Alligator mississippiensis: one gene and its partner. The protein of the gene in region 1 interacts with the protein of each later gene in a pairwise test. Links are inferred from orthologs where the notes say so. Each region holds a gene or a part of one and is shown in the gene's direction. Other genes may lie near its edges.

Region 1 (9,773 bases):
TGGCTGGCAGAGTGACTTGGATGCAAGCTAATTATTGTCATGGCACTCCAATTTTGTATAAGCATTCTTTTTTTAATGTACAAAAAAAGTACATCCGTGTGTGTGCATAACTTAAAAATGTGTGGGTTATGAGTCATTTTTGCTTAATTTGGCAATTTCAGCAGATATCAAGAACAAGCTCAAAGACTGGATGGCCACCAGTGGTGTTGATCTTTTTGGCATATACACCAAAGTTAAGTGCAGCCCCCTCCCCAGTGCTGCTCAGATTTCAATCCCCGTCCCCCTCTTTTCTCTGCATACCTGAGAAGAGTTTGCAGCACCAGAATGGAGGCCGGGGGGGGGGGGGGGGGGGTGGATCCAGCCTTCAGCTGTGTGGAACAGCAGGGACAGGATGCTGTTGCTAGAGCAGGTGTCAGAACCAAGAGGCAGGTTAACTCTTCCCTGGCCCCATAACTGCTGCAGTTATGAGACCAGTGAGGATCTAAAATCCTGAATTTGGCAGTCACTGAGGGGCCAGAAAAGGGTTATCTTTCCTCTCTGCAGTGACACCTGACACCTCTTTCCTAAGTTTCCTGCCTTTCTCCATGCTCTGGAGGCTTAAACCCTCTGCCTCCATTTCAGCACCTCCCTTTACTGAGCACCTTCCCCTCTCACTCATGGCATGTGGGCCATGGACTGGCCACTCCTGAGCTACACTATTTCACTGGAAGTGGTTCCTCCAGATCACAATTAAAGTATACCAAGTGAGGCAAGTTGGGGACAACTGTACTATCCCTGCTGAACTTAACACTACTCTATTATTACAAAAGTTAGTTCTTCAGAACTGACAATTTGACAAGCTCTAAATTCACTTAATTATTAAAACAGAGAGAGCCCACTCACTCAATGATGTTCATAAAGCATTCTTCAAGCACTTTAAGATCATAAGTCATTCTTAGAGTTGAATATGGAAACTTTAATTTAGCAAGTGTATATTATAACTTGCATCTAAAAATGACCTAATTATAGCAGCCTGAAGACCAACTTGTCTGTATGATAGACAGTTTAGTAGGCTTTTCTAATATGTGAACGGTTTGCCAAGGACGGGGGAACCCTTTAAACTTGCAAAAAGCAAAACAACCTGTTTCAATTTTAACACTGATCTGACATCAGGTGCAGGAAGACACAAGAGCCGGTGGCAGAACACTTCAACTTCCCTGGACCACAGGATTGCTGTTCTCAGGCAAAACAAAACAAAAAAAGAAAAAAAAAAGCAGTTTGAACAAGAAATTGTAGAACAAGAAATCATCCACAGGCTGGACTGTGCGAAGTATGGTTTAAGCAGGGACTATAGATTCTTATCGCATTACCTAGATTCACTTTCCTGACCCCTTTGTTCCTATAGGTTCTTTGCTTGTAAGCCTCTCCTAGCATCCCTCCTCCCCCTGCTTTCCTGCCTATTGTATTCTAATCACTTCATACTCTACTTCTCATTCGACTTTCACAGAATTTGATGAAGTGAATGTGGGTTCATGAAAGCCTGTACTATATATATCTTATTTAGTTAGGCTATGAAAGGCAGAAGGCAGGGTAGATATGCACCTCTAACAGCCATGCTTCGAATATAGGTGACATACTACTGAAGAATCTAAATGAAGAAACTGAGATTTCAACTTTGCTATCCCCTCTCTGGGAACAGAACTAATATTGTATATAATGAACGTTACTGAATAGGGGGACATTCAGCCTAATTCAGGGGTGGGCAATTATTTTGGGTGGCGGGTCACTTACCAAGTTTTGGTGAGTTGTCAAGGGTTGCGCACAGAGAATATTTCATAAGATAGCATTTTAACAAATTATAGATAAAAAAATCCTATACTGAAAATCAAATATCTATTTCACTTCCAGTGAAATAGTGTAGCTCAGGAGTGGCCAGTCCATGAATAGGGGGAACATGCAGCAGACCTACCTCCAGGGGGGGCATGATGCACAGGGGCGGGCAATTATTTTGGGTGGAGGGCTGCTTAACGAAGTTTGGTGAGCTTTCAAGGGCCACATGGGTAGCCCTTCCCCTTGAAAGTTGCTGCCCCCCCCACCCCGTTGCCATCTTGGGACCAGATGTTCCACCCATGACCCTTGACCCCCAACTTTTCCACTAGAAGTCCCTCCCCTTGCCTCCTGGAAATATTCCTTTTTGGAGGGGGGGCATTGCCATCTTAAAACCAGAAAAAAAACAAATTGTACACTAAAAGTCTAACACCTACTATAATATATATGAATTTTATTATAAGAAATACTTTTGTCATGATTTGGGTTTGTGTACTATAGAGAGGATTGCATAATAACTAAAACATACATTCTTAGTCTTGGATATTGTGTGTGGGAGGTGTGGTTGGGGTATGTGTGGGGTTGGGGATGTGGTTGGGGGTGTGTGTGTATGGTGGGGTGTGTGGGGAAGTTGTGTGGGTGTGGCTGTGTGTGGGGGTATAGGGTATGTTAGAGGGTGTGTATATGTGGGAAGGTGTGGGTGCAGGGTGTGGGTGGGTGAGTGGCATTTGTGGGGTGTGAGGAAAGGTGGTGGGACATGGGGATTCCCACCCTACACTCCTACCATGGTGCAGCAGCAGGCAGGGGCGCTCGGGGCTCCTGTGCCTGGCGGAGGTGCTGATGCCTGGCGGCCCGTGGCTCCAGCCAGCACTGCACATTGCGGTGAGTGGCGCAGTCCGCACCAGGCTGTCTCTATCGCTGGTGCTTCCCATCGTGCACCTGGAGGCCTCACAGTTGTACAGCACAGGAGGGAAGCCTCATAAGGAGTGGGGGTTCCTTCCTGTGCCAGGCTGTGTATGTGTGGTGGGGAACACTGGTGATAGAGATGGCCCGGCAGGGGTTGTGCTCCTCACCATGATGTGTAGTGCTGGCTAGAACCACATGCTGCTGGTCACCAGTCCCTGTGCCGGGCACACACGCCCCTGCCTGCTGCTGCTGCTGCCTGCTGGGCCTGTGTACCATGAGTGGAACATGGGGGGTCCCCCTACCCCCCACCCTCCCTCACACCCACATGCTGCCCACCCAAGCTCTGTGCTGCAGGCCTCTCTGGGTGCTGGCTTCATGCTGCCGCCAGCTCCAGCCCCACACTCCTGCCTAGCTGCAGCTTTGCCTTCATCCCTGCCACTTCCCTACCTGGTGTCTGGAGCAAGCAGGATGCCTGGGAAGCCAAGAAGGTTCCTAGTGGCCGCAGCAGCCCCGCCTGAAAGCTGTGTCTTCCACCCTTGAGGGTAGGAGCGAGTAGCAATAGAGTATTTTGGGGGGTGTATACATGGGTTCCTCGCTCCCACCCACATGGGTGGAAGGGCTGGGTGGGGTAAAATTAATTGGTGGATGCCGTGGGTTAGATGGAAGTGCGTGGCAGGCTAGATCTGGCCTTATTTTGCCTGCCCCTGGTGATGCAGGTGTGTTTTCCCCCCGCTGTCTCATCCAGCCCATGGCTGCCCTCATGGTACGCCACATGGGGCTGAGCACCACCTGCTCTACACTCCTGCTCACACCCATCAATGGCACTGCCCAGCCCTGGCCAGTGCACAGGTTGTTAGTAGGGCTGCTCCTGGAGCTGCCTGGGTACTGCTTGGCTCCCCCTGCCTACAGCAGCTCCTCCTTCTGTGCTTGCTGTGCCACTCCAGGCATGGGGGAGGCTGCAGCTGGGTGGCTCCTGCCACAGCATGCAGGGCTCCAGCTCCCAGCCACCTTCCACGTGCTCAGCTGCCTGCAGGTGGCTGCTCATTGCACTGGGTGGGCAGAGCAGGTGGAAGGGGGCCAGGAACTGGAGCTGGAGCCCCTGCATGCTGAGGCAGGCGCTGCCTGGCTGCAGCTTTCTCCACTCCTAGCTGGGCATGTGGTGCCTAGCATGTCCCCACAGCTTCCCCATGCTACCTGCTGCCCAGAGCAGCACAGCTGGAACAGGAGGAGGAGCTGTTGGAGGCAGTGGGAGCTGAGCAGTATATAGGCAGCTGCAGCAGCAGCAGTGGGAACAGCCCCACCAGGAAGCTGTACATGCTGGCTGGGACTGTGCCTTAATGGGTGTGGGTGGGAGCGTGGCGTGGACCGCCCTGGATGGGCATGGGTGGGCTCAGCCCCATGAAGAGCAACACGGGCCGAATCCAATCAGTTGGCAGCATTGTGGCCAGGCGTATGATAATTATATCTGTATGATGATTTCAGCTCTTGTACAATGTACAATCAAGAATACTAAGTGTTCAACATGTACTGGGCAGGCAAGGCTCTTTGGGTAGATGTGATATCTTTTATTAGATCAACTGAATAGTTGGAAAAAAGGTCTTAGCAAGCTTTCAGGCGCAGTTGCCCTTCATCAGGCACAGGGAGTCTCTGCTGGGCTGAAGCTCCAAGGAGTGAGAGAAGCTAAAAGTGTAGAGGGTTGTCAGTGAAACTGACCCAGTAAAATGTACTATTATTTTCAAGGCAGCGTGTCCATGTAGCCTGTGCAAAACTCAAGTCACTCTCAGGGAGTCTCACCTGACTTTGAGGTCAGTGCTTTCTTATGACGGCTCGCCTCAAAATAAAGCTTCAACTTTGATCCAGTTCTCAATAACTCCCTCATCGGCATGTTACAGCGAACAACATAAAGTGAAGAGGACAACTTAACTTATTTGCATATGTATTTGCATAGTTTTTCAGCAAATCCGACCCTTTCGGGCTTCCAATATGATAATTTCATCTGCAAGACCTAGGCGCGCTGGCTGCATGCGGCCCGTGGGCCATATTTTGCCCATCTCTAGCCCAACTCCTCCTTACGCCCGTCCCTTTAATGTCGGGGGGGCATTAGGACGGGAGAAAAATTGAGGAAGGGCTACGCCTTTTTTTTTTGGTCAGACGTGAGAAGCATTAGAGGCTCGAGGCCTGCAGCCCCTCAGCCCAGTGGGGCGCGGGGCCCCCACCCCACCCCACCCCGTCCGCCCGGCTGAGAGGGGAGAAGTAGCGTGGGAGGGGCCCCACAACCTCCCCACTTTAAAGGCTGCCAGTCGCGCCACTCCCGCGGCGCGCATGCGCACTGCCCCCTTTCCGCTCGCGCACTATGCAAGCAGCGTGCGAAGGCGGCGGCGCGCATGCGCCCGCTCCTCTCCTCCCGTCATACGTCACGCCGCCCCGCCCCGCCCCGCCCCGCCTTCCACCCACCCAAGCAGAATCAGTAGCAGGGGCGCGTTCAGAAAGTACTTCCCCACCCCTGCGTCACGCAGCGCCCTTCACGTGCCGGGTCAGAGCCGCGAAGAACACCCCCCCTTCCCACTCCAGTGTGCGCACGCGCGCACGGCGCCGCCCGTTGGAGTTGCGCGCGGCGCCGGAGGGGGGGGGCACAGAGGGGGGGGCGGTCCCCGCCAAGTGGCGCCGCTCGCTCGCGCTGCTCCCCGCCTAACGGCCGCCCCGCCCCTGCGCCCGCCCCCGCTCCTCCCCCCCGCCGCCGCGGCTGCCGCTGCCGCTGTCGGTGCAGCCTGAACTGAAGCGAACTCCGGAGCGAAGTGAGGAGAAGTGAGGAGGCGGCGGCGAGGCTAACACTCACCAGCCACAGGCGGCGGCGGCGGCAGCGGCGGCGGGCGGGCGGGCGGGCGGGCGGAGGCACCCAGCGCAGCGGCGGCGGCTCCCGGGAAGGGCGGCAGGAAGGAAGGAGCGAGCGGCGGCCGCGCACCCCGGTTGGAGCGAGGGGCATCGCCGAGGCCAGAGCCGGGTCGATTTGCCCGGGCGCGGGGCCGCCGCGGAGTAGTCCCCGCCGCCCGCCCGCCCGGCCGACCCAGCCCAGGGGGGCCCCGAGCTCGTGTCTCTCGCTCGCTCGCTCCTCGCGGCCGCCTCCGGGGCGGGCCGGGCGGGCGGGCGGGGGGCGCCGGCGGCGCGCTTGGAATATGGTGGGGGAAATGGAAACGAAGGAGAAGCCGAAGCCGAGCCCCGATTACCTGATGCAGCTCATGAACGACAAGAAGCTGATGAGTAGCCTGCCCAACTTCTGCGGGATCTTCAACCACCTCGAGAGGCTGCTGGACGAAGGTAAGACCGGCCTCACGCCGCCTCCCCCCTCCCCCCTCCCCCCTCCCCGGCTGGCCTCGGCGGGAACAAAGGGGAAGTGAGGGGCTGCAAGGCCCCGGGGGGGCGCCCCTTCCTCAGCGCACTTAAGTTGGAAGGCGGCGCCCGCGGGACAGGACGGGACGGGTCGGGAGGGCTGTCCCGGGCCTGGCGGCCTCGGGCCGGGCCGGCCCCACGGCGGGGCAGTGATCTCATGTGGAAATAACGTGCGCGGCGCTCGCAGCTCCTCGTCCCGGGCGGGGCTGGGGGAGGGGGTGGGGTGTTTGTGTGGTTAAGTGTGTGTGTGTGTTTGCGTGTTTGCTTGCGGCCAGAGGGGAGTCTATGGTTTGCAAGGAGGGGGGTGTGTGTGTTTGGGGCTGGAAGGGTATGTATATGTGTGTGTGGCTGGTGGGGAGGGTGTGTGTGTGTGTGTGTGTGTTTATTTGCAGCTAGAGGGGGGAGTCTGTGTCTGTGGCTCGGAGGAGGGGTGTGTGCATGTGTGTTTGGGGCTGGAGGGAAGGGTGTGTGTGTGGTCTTTGGGGCTGGAGGGGTGTGTGTGTGTGTGTGTGTTCCTGCTTTCAGAGAGGTTTTAGCTTCCCTGCTTGGGCTGCACAGATTTCTTTCTTTTTTTTTCTCTCTCCCTATTCCTGCTAGGGAAAGGGGGCCCAACATGGAGACCTGCTCTGTAGAATGACACTCTTGCAGGCGTTCCTCTCTGTGCAGGAGTGGGAGGTTTTGTCACAGTTCCAACTTCCATGGTGTTTTTTTTTTCTTGGGGGGGTGGGTCTTAAGCAGTTGAGGCATTTTGAGGGTTTGGGGCCCATGGGGTTTGTGCTGGCATTTGCATTTTGTTTGCTTAAAATGGAGTAAAGCGGCCAGTTCGGGGAAGGAGTCAGGGTTTAAGAGGAGGAAAAAATCCACATGTAAGAATGTGGTTGTGGGACCACGTAGGGGTGGGTGGGTGGGTGGGTGTGTGTGTGTGTGTGTGTGTGTGTGTGTGTATGTATGTACGTACACACACACACCCACCCACCCTTCCTCAGTTAATGAGAGGAATGGATGGGAGATGAAAAGGGCACTTGAAGTATTTAAAAACAAAATTGGACTTGAAGCAGCAGCATAGGTCTGGATGTTTTTAGTTCTGTGCTTCTGAGGGCTCAGTTTAGTTTTCAGATCTAGGCTGGCCATGCATGGATGTCAGAAGGAAAATTGTAACGTACAGTTAGGGTCACCCTGATCTTCAGAAGGTTAATTAGTAAGGAAAATATTAATTCAGAAGAAACTGGATCAACAAGATGCATTTTAAGCATCAATAATCTTCCCAGAGGCTTGATGGTGGATTTTTAAAATCCCATACCCCTTTCAAGTTCGTATAATCTCAGAAGGAGGCGGCCTACAAAGTTGGTCTGTCCTGAGAACAAAAGGGAGAGAAACATCTCCAGTGTCAAAAGGTATTGAAAGAGGAGGTATATATGAGGTCACTGCATCTTTTGAATTTTGTTGAATCCTGGAAGTCTCTGGTTTAGCAGAGTTTCATAAACCCGAGACAAACACTGGAACCAAAGTTTATTTTGAAGTTATTGAGGAGTCAGGCTGTTCTTTACCCATTCCTCCTCCCCCCTCTGCCAGACTTTTATTTTGTACTACATGGCCCAAGGAAAAGTTCTGCTATCCCTTTAAGTTGTCTTGCTTTTTCCTGTTTGTGTTGGTGCTTGGCTGGAAGAGTTGTGGAGGCAGAAAACTTTTTGGAATGTCAAAAAAATGTTGCATGCAAATCCAGTGAAATATATGAAGGTTTCAAAATGTGAACACTAAGGGGCGCCAGTTATTTTCTTTTTCTGAAAGATGAGAATGGATTTGTAAGATCTTTACTAACTTAATACTAAAATTAGCAGCTTTACTAGAAGACAGTGAAATTTGAGGATTTTTGGACTTAAAATTTGTGCTTATGTATCTTAGGAAAATACCACATTAATACTGTGCATAAAACCCTAGTGAGCACACCTTGGAAAAGTTTAGGCAATTTTTTTATACAACAGGCATGATAGGGCTGGAAGAAATACTAAAATCTCTGCTCTGGGAACAGAAGGAACATTTCCACCACAAGCAATATCAGATTTCATGTTTCTTAGTGTATTAGGAAGAGGCCTCAGAGAGAGAGAGAGAGAAAGAGAGAGAGTATTTATTTTGAGGCACAATAATTAAAGTACTTTAAAAATTACTTTTATATCACTGTCAAATGTATTTTGCAAAGTAACACCTGATTATTTACAGGACATTTAGAGGGGAAGGAATAAGAGAAAAGGAGTTGAAGTAGTCCGTCCCTCCCCCCCCCGAAATAATTTGGTTTAGTTATTTGTTTTACTTTTTCAACAGATTAATTTGCATTTTAGTAGGGAGATTCAATCTGGGATATCTTTTAAAAAGTTATCACAGAACATGGAATACAATCCATGTTAACTTGGAGATCCTATACATGCTTTTGGAGTAGTAAAACTGTAAGAATTAGCAGTGTCGTCTATTGTTTGCAGAAGGGGCCTCTTGGACTAGGGAGTCCAGTTTTCTGCTTCTGCCCTCTTAATTAAAGAAAGAACGTTTACATAAAGTCCTGAGAAATCCTGATTTTTTTTTTGATTTTTTTTTTAGAAAAGAATTCGAGAATTATTTTTGCTGATTAGATTTTTTTTTTTTTATATGCACGTGGCAGTATTTAAAAAGAACACATGGGTTTGCATTTGATCTTATATGGTTTGCCAGATCAGAAGCAGAAATTCAAACAGGCATAAAATTATTGCCTTGGCGTTTTTTGGAGTTTGTTTTACTTTATTTTAGGATTTAGACATATAATTACATGGCACACAAAATATCTCTTACTATGAACTTCATTATCTAAAACATCTCCCCATTTTCAATGTTTTTCTGAATCTTGATCTCAAAACATGATGAAAGTAAAATTTGATAACTTTTTTTTTTAATACAAGCACAGTTACTGTTCAATACTACAGTAAACTCTTAAAGTTAAGATTGTGCAGGTTGATTAAAAATGCACCTTGCTTGGAAGATGCATTAACATTGTTTTTGCTCATCTTACAATTATTTTTCAAATTGTAGTCTTTTCATCTCCATAAGCATAAAGAATGCTTTTGTAGATTATCAAGGATGTTTAAAATGGACAGCATAATAAGTAGGAAGTTAGATTGTTTTTATCAGACTAGTGCAAACCTGTGGGAAGAGGGGGTGCTTCCTGACTGGAGTGGGCTGTATTTCCTGTAATTGTTTGCACCATCAGATGTGACCTGAATTTTCTGCACTTCAGTTCTAGTTTCTGAGATACTTGCACCTTATTTTAAGCTACACAATGGGCATTTTTTGTAGCTTAGTTTTCCTGCTGCTTTTAAAATATGTCTCATTGCACAAAATGAATACGTTATTCATTGTTTCTTGTAGTTCATGGTTATTTAACAATATATACATGTTGAATTTTGTAAATATATTCCAAGCTTTTAAAATAAATGAAAGCTACTCTGCTCATACTTTTAAAAGATGCAGTACAAAGTTCTTAAACTACAACTGGCTTGAACAAGTTCATCTTTTTTACTGTTTTGAGAAGGATAAAAAGTTTATTCTGGCCATAACTGTTTGTAGCTCTACATAGAAAATGCTACACTTGAACATTGTGATATACAGTTAGTAAGAATGCTCAATTTAGCAAACTTGAAGGTTGTTAGTAT
Region 2 (9,324 bases), on another chromosome or scaffold:
CAAGCTCATGGGACTGGGAGGGGGCAATGCACCATAAAAAAATGGCTGCCGATGTCCATGCCACCCAGCTGCTCTGCAAGAGAGGACCCTCGGTACGGGATGGATGCCATCAGAGGCTTTTGGGAGGCACCGGGACAAGGCCTGGGTGGGCTCCAGGCTTTGAGCAAGGCCATGGAGAAGCTAACAAGGGTCCAGAGGCGGCAACAAAGATGCCCATGGGCTCAGAAAGTGCAGCCCAGGCGGGGAGGAGCGGAGCAGAGCAGCAGGTGGCACTGGGCTGGTTCAGACGGCGGAAAAGGCGCTGGAGGGGCCCTGGGAGCGGGCTGCAGGGATCCGAAGGGCAGTTGCAGCAAGGAGGGCAAGCGCCTGCGCTCCCCAGGGCAGAGAGGAGGACACGGAGCCATGGCTGGAAGAGGCAGCAAAATGAATTGATTTTGGAGATCATAGAAAATTCAGTTTGAGGGGCCCTTAGGTCACATCTATTCCAACCCCCTGCTCTTGCCCTCCGCTGGACTCTCTCCAACGTATCCACACCCTTTCTGTCGTGGGGAGCCCACAGCTGGACAAGGGACTCCAGATGTGGCCTCCCCAGTGCCCCATAGAGGGGAAGAATCACTGCCCTCAATCTGCTGGCAACGTTCCTACCGATGCAGCCCAGGATGCCGCAACAAGGGCACACTGCTGGCTCATATCCCTCTTATTGCCCACTGTCAGCCCCAGGTCCTTTTCTGCAGAGCTGCTGCCCAGCCCGTCACCCCCAGCCTGTCCCGGTGCATGGGACTGCTCTGTCCTAAACGCAGCACTTTGCACTTGTCCTTAATTGAACCTCAGTCATGAGATTCCTTTTGGTCGTCAAAGCCTCTGGATCCCAGCCCTGCCCTCCAGCGCATCTGCTACTCCCCCCAGCGCGGTGTCATCCGCGAAGGTGCTGAGTGTGCACTCACCCTGCTTTCCAGCCGAGGCTGATGTCATTTTCCTGGACTTTAGGAAGGCCTTTGACACAGTTTCGCACCCTGTCCTCGTTGGGAAGCTAGCAGACTGTGGAGTGGACGCCTACACGGTCAGGTGGGTGGCCAACTGGCTTAGGGACCGCACCAGAGTGGTGGTGGATGGTTTCTTCTCGGCCTGGAGGGAGGTGGGCAGTGGGGTCCCGCAGGGTTCGGTCCTCCAACAGATATTATCCAATATCTTCATCAGCGATTTGGACAAGGGCATGGAGAGCACCCTCTCCAAGTTCGCTGATGATACCAAGTTATGGGGCAAAGTTAGTACACAGGAGGGCAGGGAGCAGATTCAGGCTGACCTGGACAGGTTGGATCAATGGGCAGAGAGAAATAGGATGCAATTTAATAAAGATAAATATAAGGTACTCCACCTGGGAAGGAGGAACCCCCAGCACACCTATAGGTTGGGGAGTGTCCTTCTCAGTAGCTCGGAGGCAGAGAGGGATCTTGGAGTCATAATTGACTCCAAGATGAACATGAGCCGGCAGTGTAACGAGGCCATCAACAAGGCCAGTCACATCTTGAAGTGCATTAGCAGCTGCATGACTAATAGATCAAAGGAGGCGATGCTCCCCCTCTATGCGGCACTGGCCAGGCCGCAGTTGGAGTAGTGTGTCCAGCTCTGGGCGCCGCACTTCAAGAGAGATGCAGGGAATCTGGAGAGGGTCCAGAGGAGGCCACTCGCATGATGAGTGGCCTTCGTGATAGACCCTACGGGGGGAGGTTGAAAGACCTGATTCTCTTCAGCCTTCACAAGAGATGGCTGAGGGGACATCTTGTGGCCGCCTATAAATTTATTAGGGGAGGTCAACGGGGAATAGGGGAAGTGCTGTTTACTAGGGTGCCCCAGGGAGTGACTAGGAATAACAGGTGTAAACTAGTTGAGAGGGGATTTAGGTTAGATATTAGGAAGAAATTTTTCACAGTAAGGGTGGCCAGGATCTGAAATGGGCTCCCAAGAGAGGTGGTGCTTTCACCTAGCTTGGAGGTCTTCAAGAGGAGGATAGATAGTCACCTGGCTGGGGTCGTCTGACCTCGGTCCTCTTTCCTGCCAGGGGCAGGGGCTCAGACACGATGATCCATTTGGTCCCTTCTGACTCGACAATCTATGAATCTATGACACTGAACACAACTGCCTCCGGTCCCTCCACCTGATACAGAAACACTTCCTCCAGGGCAGAGCAGGGGTCCGCAGGGTGGACACCAGGCATCGGTGGGGGGACGCCCCGTCCATGTGTCAGGGGGGTTTTAAGCCCCCCCAGAGGTGCTACCTGCAGCTCAGGCTGGGGATGAGGACCGGACTATGCCAATGCAATCTGCAGGGTCCCGCACCTGTGCTCAGGCTCAGCCCCACATTGCACTGGGGCAGATGCTCAGCCTGGCACAGTCCCCTCTGTAGCGGGGGTGCAGCCTCGGCCTGGGGGCTCTTCAGCAATTACTGACAGGTCACAGCAGCACGACGTTGGCGGCTGCAGCCCCGCTGCTTTTCCTGCAGCAAACTCTGGCGTCAGATCCACTGTGTCAGGATCAACAGTATTTGATACACGCTGGATTAGTCCTGGCCGGTTTGCACAGGGCCGATCCTTCCTCCGGCCAGAGGCTAGACTGGATGCGACCTCTGAAGCTCCCTTCCATCCCCACGGCTGTAGGATTCAGCGATGCAGACAGGGCTTTAAATCAATACCCGATAACCACAACTCAAGGATAGGAACAGCCTCTAAAGGGCCAAGCAGGAGGAGCGGGCAAGTCACGAAAGGGAGAAAACAGCTAGGAAAGGAAGAGCGCTCGACCGAATGAAGCCGTGGTGTGACCCTGGACCGTGAGAGCCGTGGGCAAGGCAGAAGGTAAGTAGTGCGTTTATTAGGATAAACGGGGTGCCAGCAGTCCCTGGGTCTACCGCGGCTCGTGGACGGGTCTTGAGCTGACTTCTGAGCCCAATCCTGGAGCCGCAGATCTGGCCGCAGGTCTTTCTGCAGCAGAGCAGGTGTAGGCTGGCATTCCTCTCCCTCCCCGGGGAAGCACGGGCCGGTCCCCAGGTGCCCTTCCCTGCCTGGCGGGGCAGCGTGCCTCCTGCCTCAGAGCACCGGATAAAGGAGGCCGGGATCCCTCCTCACCTCCTGGAGCTCAAGGTGGGGAACCCAGGCGTCCCCTTGGCCCTGTCCGGGGCTGGGCACGTCCCTGCTGACCTGGCGTCAGGGCCTGGGGTGCAGCAGCACGGCCTGGCCGCACAGCCCCTCCTGCAGGCCGCCCGCGGGCACGATGTAGACCTTGCCGTCGCCCGCCCGCCGGGGGCTGAAGTCCGTCAGCTGAGCGTTGCTCTCCTGCAGCTGCCCGTAGCCCCACAGCTGGTAGCGCCAGCTCTTGCCTTGCTTGGCCAGCAGGTAGGTCTCCTCCACGCCCGCCGGCAGGGGCCCCGGCCCCCGGGGGTGGAAGAGCCCCGGGATCTCCTCGTCCTCGCGGCAGGGCGGGCTTGGCGCATCGGGCCTCAGACCCAGAAGGGCTCCTGCGGGCACAGCGGCTGTCAGCCCAGCTCCGCTCCTGGAAGCAGCAGGATGTGGCCCTTTGGCCCCAAAGGGGTGGTGGGCTGTTGCCCCCCCTGGGCCGCAGTCTGAAACAGATTTCCACCCCCCAAGGCTTTGAGCACTCCCGCACCTAAGAGCCCCGCTACGCCCTGGGGTGAGGACCAGCCCGTGGCAATTGCCGGACACGGCTCCCAGACCCCTGGCACAGTTCACCAGCCCCGTGGCACCCAGGCCAGGCAGGACCGTACCCGAAACGACAGCCCAGTGGGCTTTGTATCCGCGCCGGCGGCAGGGCTCGTGGTTAGAGTCCTCGTCGTAGCTGGGCGCTCGTCAAGGCTGCAGCGGGGGGCCTGAGGGGATGCCCACGCCGTCGCCACCCCTCCCAGAGCCACCTCCGCAGCCCGGGGGCATTGAGCGAGGCTGAGGGAGACCTGGAGGTGGTGGAGGGAGAGCCACGATGCCCCCCCCATTACCCCTCCAAAGACACAGCGGACACATCACCCCCCCCCCCCCCCCGGCGGGACCCAGACGCCGCCTGCCACGGCTGCGTGGGCCCATCCCGGCTGGAGGGCCACGTGGGAGAAGGATACGGCACCAGCACGGGGCAGCCAGCAGCAAGGTGGCAAAGGATCCTGTCCCGGTTGGCTCCCTCCAAGCCTCCCGTGAGCAGCTCCGCCCGGCACGGGAACACCTCTGCCGCCAGCTTCGCCATGTCCGCCGCTGGGGGAGGAGGCGGACGTGTCTCAGACCCTGCTCCAGGCTCCGTCACCCCTTCCCCGGAGCCGGGGCATCTCCGACGCCAACCCGGGGCAGGCAGGGGCTGACCTGAGAACATCTCCCCCTGCGCCGTGTAGCCTCTGTCCAGCGCCGCCTGCACGATGCGCTCCAGCGAGACGCTCCGGGGCAGGCGGAGGAGGGCGCCCGCCATCCACAGCGCCACCAGCCCGCACCTGCGGGCACGGGGCCGGGGTCGAGGGGGGTCCCAGGGCTGAGGGGGGCATTCCCCCAGCCCCACGGCTGCACCCTGGGCCCCTGTGCCATCTCGGCTGTCCTGGGCCCCTGTGGGGTCTCGGCTGCCGCGGCTGCGGTACTCACTGGGGCCCCTCCTGGATCAAGGACGGCACGGGGCGGTGGTACAGCAGCCACTTCCGCCGCCCGCTGAAGCTGGAAGAGAGACGCCCGCCGCACTCAGCGCCCCGTGCAGGGAGACGTCTCGGGGGGCAAGGGGGCTACCCCCCCCGCCCCGAGACCCCCCACCACCACACTGTGGCGACCCCGACCTGGCGCGCCGGTGCCCCAGCAGCTCCCGCACGTCATCCCCGGTGCCGGGCGGGGGGGCCGCACGCTCCAGGGCCGCCTTCAGGAAGTGGGCCTTGGCGCCCCCCGATGGGGGCAGGGGAGGCAGGGATGGGGGTGGGGGAGGACGAGGGGGAGGGGGTGGGGCAGGAGGGGGCAACCCCACCCCGCCCTTATGGGCCATGGGCAGGGGGAAGGGGGGGCAAAGGGAGATTGGCCAGAGGTCAGAGGGCAAAGGGCATGACCTCGCTGGGGGAGGGGGACGGGGTCGCGCTGCCCGCCCAAGATGGCGGCGCCCGTGGAGGGGGCCTCGCGGCGGTCATGTGCCCTCGCGCCGTGGAGCGCGGCCGGCCAATAGGAAGCGGCCGCGGCCTTGACTGACAGCCAGCTGCCGGCTCGGGGGCGGAGAGGAGCCCTCGGATTGGCCCGTTCGCTGAGGGAGGGAGGGACGGGGTGGGGACAGAGCGGATTGGCTGCCCGACGCCCCGCATCGATAGGCTCGTCAGGGGGAGGCTGCGGCCCTCCCATTGGTCCGCCCGCGCCGAGGGAGCGGGGCCAGTCTCCGCGCGCCCTTTCGCTGCGGCGGCCGCGCTGCGCCACGGGCCCGGCGGCGTCGGTGAGAGCGGGGGGGCCGCGGGACCCCCATCCGGGCTGCCCTCTCTTGGGGGGGCACTTCCGGGGAGGGGGGAGAGCCGAGAGCCCCCCCCCACAGGCCTCCCTTCTGGGGGAGCTCCCATTGCCACGGGGAGCCCTCCACTTCCGGTGGAGCCGCCTCCTGGGGGGAGGGGGCGTCTGGGCCAGGTGCCCCCCCTCCCCGGGGTGCCCCTGGGTCCGGGCTGCTGCGGGGCCTGCCCTTAAAGGGCCACGACCCCTTAGGAGGCAGGACCCCCTCCCCCCCAGCTGACCCCCGCGCTCCCCCCCCGCAGACCCCGCCGCCATGGCCGTGCAGGAAGCCCGCCCCAACCACACCATCTACATCAACAACCTCAACGAGAAGATCAAGAAGGACGGTGAGGGGCCCCAGGGATGGCACCGGGTGGGGGGGGGACGGGACACCCCCGCCGGGTCCATGCCTAACCCCCCCCACCACGTTTGCCTCCCCCAGAGCTGAAGAAGTCCCTGTACGCCATCTTCTCCCAGTTCGGGCAGATCCTGGACATCCTGGTGTCGCGCAGCCTCAAGATGAGGGGCCAGGCCTTCGTCATCTTCAAGGAGATCAGCAGCGCCACCAACGCCCTGCGCTCCATGCAGGGCTTCCCCTTCTACGACAAGCCCATGGTGAGCGCGGGGGCCCGCGGCCCGGGGGGGGGACCCAGGCGGTGTCGTCCCCCGCCCGCGCTGACCCGGCCTCTGCTCCCCAGAGGATCCAGTACGCCAAGACGGACTCGGACATCATCGCCAAGATGAAGGGCACCTACGTGGAGCGCGACCGCAAGCGGGAGAAGAGGAAGCCCAAGGGCCAGGAGACGCCGACGACCAAGAAGGCCATGCCGGGAGCGGCCGCCCCCGTGGCCAACGCCGTGCAGGGCGCCGTGCCGGTGAGTCAAGGCCTGGGGCGGCCCCCGCCGGGCCCTCTTGGCATCCAGGGGTGCTACGGCCGTGCCCGGCACGGGGACCTTGCGGCTAAGCCGCTGTCCTCTCCTCCGCCTGCAGGGGATGGCGATGAACCAGGCTCCCCGCATGATGCACCACATGCCAGGCCAGCCGCCCTACATGCCCCCGCCCGGCATGATCCCGCCGCCCGGCATGGCTCCCGGAGGCATGGCGCCCGGCGGCATGGCCCCTCAGCAGATGATGCCCGGCCAGATGCCTCCTGCCCAGCCGGTGAGTGCCGCGTGTGCCCGGGCTTCGGGCTCCCCTCGGTCTTGTCCAAACTCACCCGTGGCTCCGGATGGTGAAGCTTCCTTGTTGCAGGGGAGGGCGAAGGACCCTTCTCCCCAGGGGCGAGTGGAGTCGTGGCCTTGCTGTCGTGGCTGGGGCTGGGGGCAGCAGGACCTGGTGCTGAGCTCCTTGCTCTAATGCCACCTGGGCTGGGGCTATGGGGTGCCTAAGGGCTGCAGGTCCCTGTCCTGGAGAAGCCGGCCCTGCTGGAGCTTGGCTGGTGACGTCTTTGCCAGTCTTGATTCTCGTCTTGCGGGAGGACTTTATGCTGGCAAGTGCCTGTCCCTGCTGCGGGTCCTTGGACTTGGTGCTGCTTGCATCCGGCCGGCCAGGGGGATGCCAGCCCCCGCCCTCCCCGCTCCGACCGGCCCCTCTCCCCGCAGGTCTCAGAGAATCCACCCAACCACATCCTCTTCCTCACCAACCTGCCCGAGGAGACCAACGAGCTGATGCTCTCCATGCTCTTCAACCAGTGAGTCTAGGGGGAGAGGGGGGCTGGGGCGGGAAGCGACGGTGCCAGCAGCCGAGGCTGCCCCTCACTGCTCCCCCTTCCTCCCCTGCAAGGTTCCCCGGGTTCAAGGAAGTGCGGCTGGTGCCAGGGCGCCACGACATCGCCTTCGTGGAGTTCGATAACGAGGTGCAGGCCGGGGCCGCCCGCGACGCCCTCCAGGGCTTCAAGATCACCCAGAACAATGCCATGAAGATCTCCTTCGCCAAGAAGTGAGGCCATGGCCTCCCCGCGTCCCGGTCTTATCCCTCAGGGCTGCCCCCATTCCCCTTTCTCCCCATGTTGTTTGTACTGACTGTCAGGTAAGTGCTCCCAGGCTGGCCCATCCTGGCACCCAGAGCCTTATGCACCGTGCCTGACTCGCAGCAGCCCCTTGCTCCCAGCGGGTAAGTGCCCCGGATGCCCACCAGCAGCTGAGCCAGCCTTGGTAGAGCAAGGCAGCCCCTGGAGACCGGGACCGGGTGGGTGGGGGAGGGCAGGGAGACAGTTGATGGCCTCATGGAAAGCATTGTACCCAGGGTCTGGTGCTCAGACATTGCACCTGGAGCTTCCCGCTGTGTAATAAAGTTGTTTTGTTTTAGAGGTCGGTGGGTGCTGCCCCTTCCTTCACCCGGGTCCAGGTGCTGGGTGGGGGGCGCTTCGGGGTGCACTGCCCACTGGTCCTGCTGGGACACCCCAGTCTCCCTGCTGTTCCAGCAGCTGCTACCTGATCCCGGGATTTTGCGCCGTGGACTGGCTGGCCACGAGGGCATCTAACGGGGCTGGGAGCGCAGCCACTGCCAGCAATGGGGATGGGGACAGTCCGTCTATGGAGCCAGCCCCTGCAACACCTTATTCTTCAAGGGAAACATACAGAGCCCCCACCAGCCCCTTCTCTGTGCACTGCTGCCCTGAACTGGGGGCTCAAACATGCTGGGGGGAGCAAAGCATACACTCAGAAAATGAGGGTTGAAGGGACCCCAAGAGGTCACACCTGGTCCAGCCCCCTGCTGAAAGCAGGACCAGCCCCAACTGCATCATCCCACCTCTCTTCGCCAGCCTCATTTTCCTAGTATCCAACCTCAACTTCCCTTGCTGCAGCTTGAGCCCATTGCTCCTGTCATCTGCCCCCACTGAGACCAGTCCAGCTCCATCCTCTTTGCACCCCCCTGCAGGGAGGTGAAGGCTGCTAGTCGATCCCCCTCAGTCTTCTCTTCTGCAGACTGAATCAGCCCATTTCCCTCAGCCTCTCCTCACCAGTCCTGTCCCCCAGCCCTGCATTTTCATTGCTCTCTGCTGGACTCTCCAGTATGTCCACATCCTTTCTGTAGTGGGGGGGGCCAAAACGACACCGGACTCCAGATGTGGCCTCCCCAGTGCCGAATAGAGGGAAGACACTGCCCTCGACCTGCTGGCACTGCTCCTACCAATGCAGCCCAGGATCCCATTTGCCTTCTCGGCAACGAGGGCACACTGCTGGCTCCTGTTCAGCTTATTGCTTCCTGTCCCCGTCCCCCCCCCCGGGTCCTTTGCAGAGCAGCCAGTCGCCCCTGGCCTGTCCCGGTGCAGGGGATTGTGCCCGAAGCACAGGACTTTGCACTTGTCCTTGTTGAACCTCATGAGATTTATTTTGGCCCATTCCTTCAACGTGTTGAGGTCTCTAACTCATAGCCCTGCCCTCCAGAGCATGGTGGGGGGGCACAGCGGGTGGTTCTGTGTCCCTGCCTGCTTGTGGGGCTTCTCTGGGCTCCCCCCTCCCAGCCGGCTAGCCCAATAGGAGCCGAGCCTGGAGGAGGTCTTGCTTTTCCCCTCCTACCCCCAGCCCCTTTGCCGCTGGGAAGAGCAGACAAGGGCCCCACTGTGCTGGGGCTGCTCCGTGGCAGGGGCGGCTGCTGCTGTTCCCTGGGCCGGCCCCTGGCTCCGCATCTCTGCTCCAGCCCTCAGGTTCACGGCTCCTGCCCGGGCCAAAAGCAGAGTGGGAGGGAGACATTTCACAGAGGCTTCTTGAAGCTGCCCTGTCCTGGCATCCAGCCCCTTTCTCTGAGCTGGGCACCACCCGGCCTGGCTGCGCGGCTGGCTCTGGGCTGGAGCGTGGCAGCAGGGGCCCCAGCCTCCTTGAAGCCGACAGCACCTG

Evidence for each region.
Region 2: the proteins of QKI (region 1) and SNRPA interact in binary tests that used the Homo sapiens proteins (3 or more experiments, as listed by UniProt). The link is inferred for Alligator mississippiensis from reciprocal best matches to the Homo sapiens genes QKI and SNRPA.

Annotation. Positions count from the first base shown.
Region 1 is NC_081824.1:140,776,390-140,786,162, forward strand, and holds the start of QKI (KH domain-containing RNA-binding protein QKI), read left to right. Parts: upstream 1-5,495; 5' UTR 5,496-5,885; coding exon 5,886-6,027; intron 6,028-9,773. UniProt on the Homo sapiens protein: RNA reader protein, which recognizes and binds specific RNAs, thereby regulating RNA metabolic processes, such as pre-mRNA splicing, circular RNA (circRNA) formation, mRNA export, mRNA stability and/or translation.
Region 2 is NC_081838.1:2,384,024-2,393,347, forward strand, and holds SNRPA (U1 small nuclear ribonucleoprotein A), read left to right. Parts: upstream 1-5,331; 5' UTR 5,332-5,438; intron 5,439-5,748; 5' UTR 5,749-5,759; coding exon 5,760-5,832; intron 5,833-5,927; coding exon 5,928-6,100; intron 6,101-6,183; coding exon 6,184-6,360; intron 6,361-6,475; coding exon 6,476-6,646; intron 6,647-7,086; coding exon 7,087-7,175; intron 7,176-7,267; coding exon 7,268-7,427; 3' UTR 7,428-7,793; downstream 7,794-9,324. Other genes in the region: ACTMAP (actin maturation protease), read right to left, coding at 3,197-3,507, 3,775-3,845, 4,117-4,246, 4,352-4,476, 4,622-4,690, 4,807-5,006. UniProt on the Homo sapiens protein: Component of the spliceosomal U1 snRNP, which is essential for recognition of the pre-mRNA 5' splice-site and the subsequent assembly of the spliceosome. U1 snRNP is the first snRNP to interact with pre-mRNA.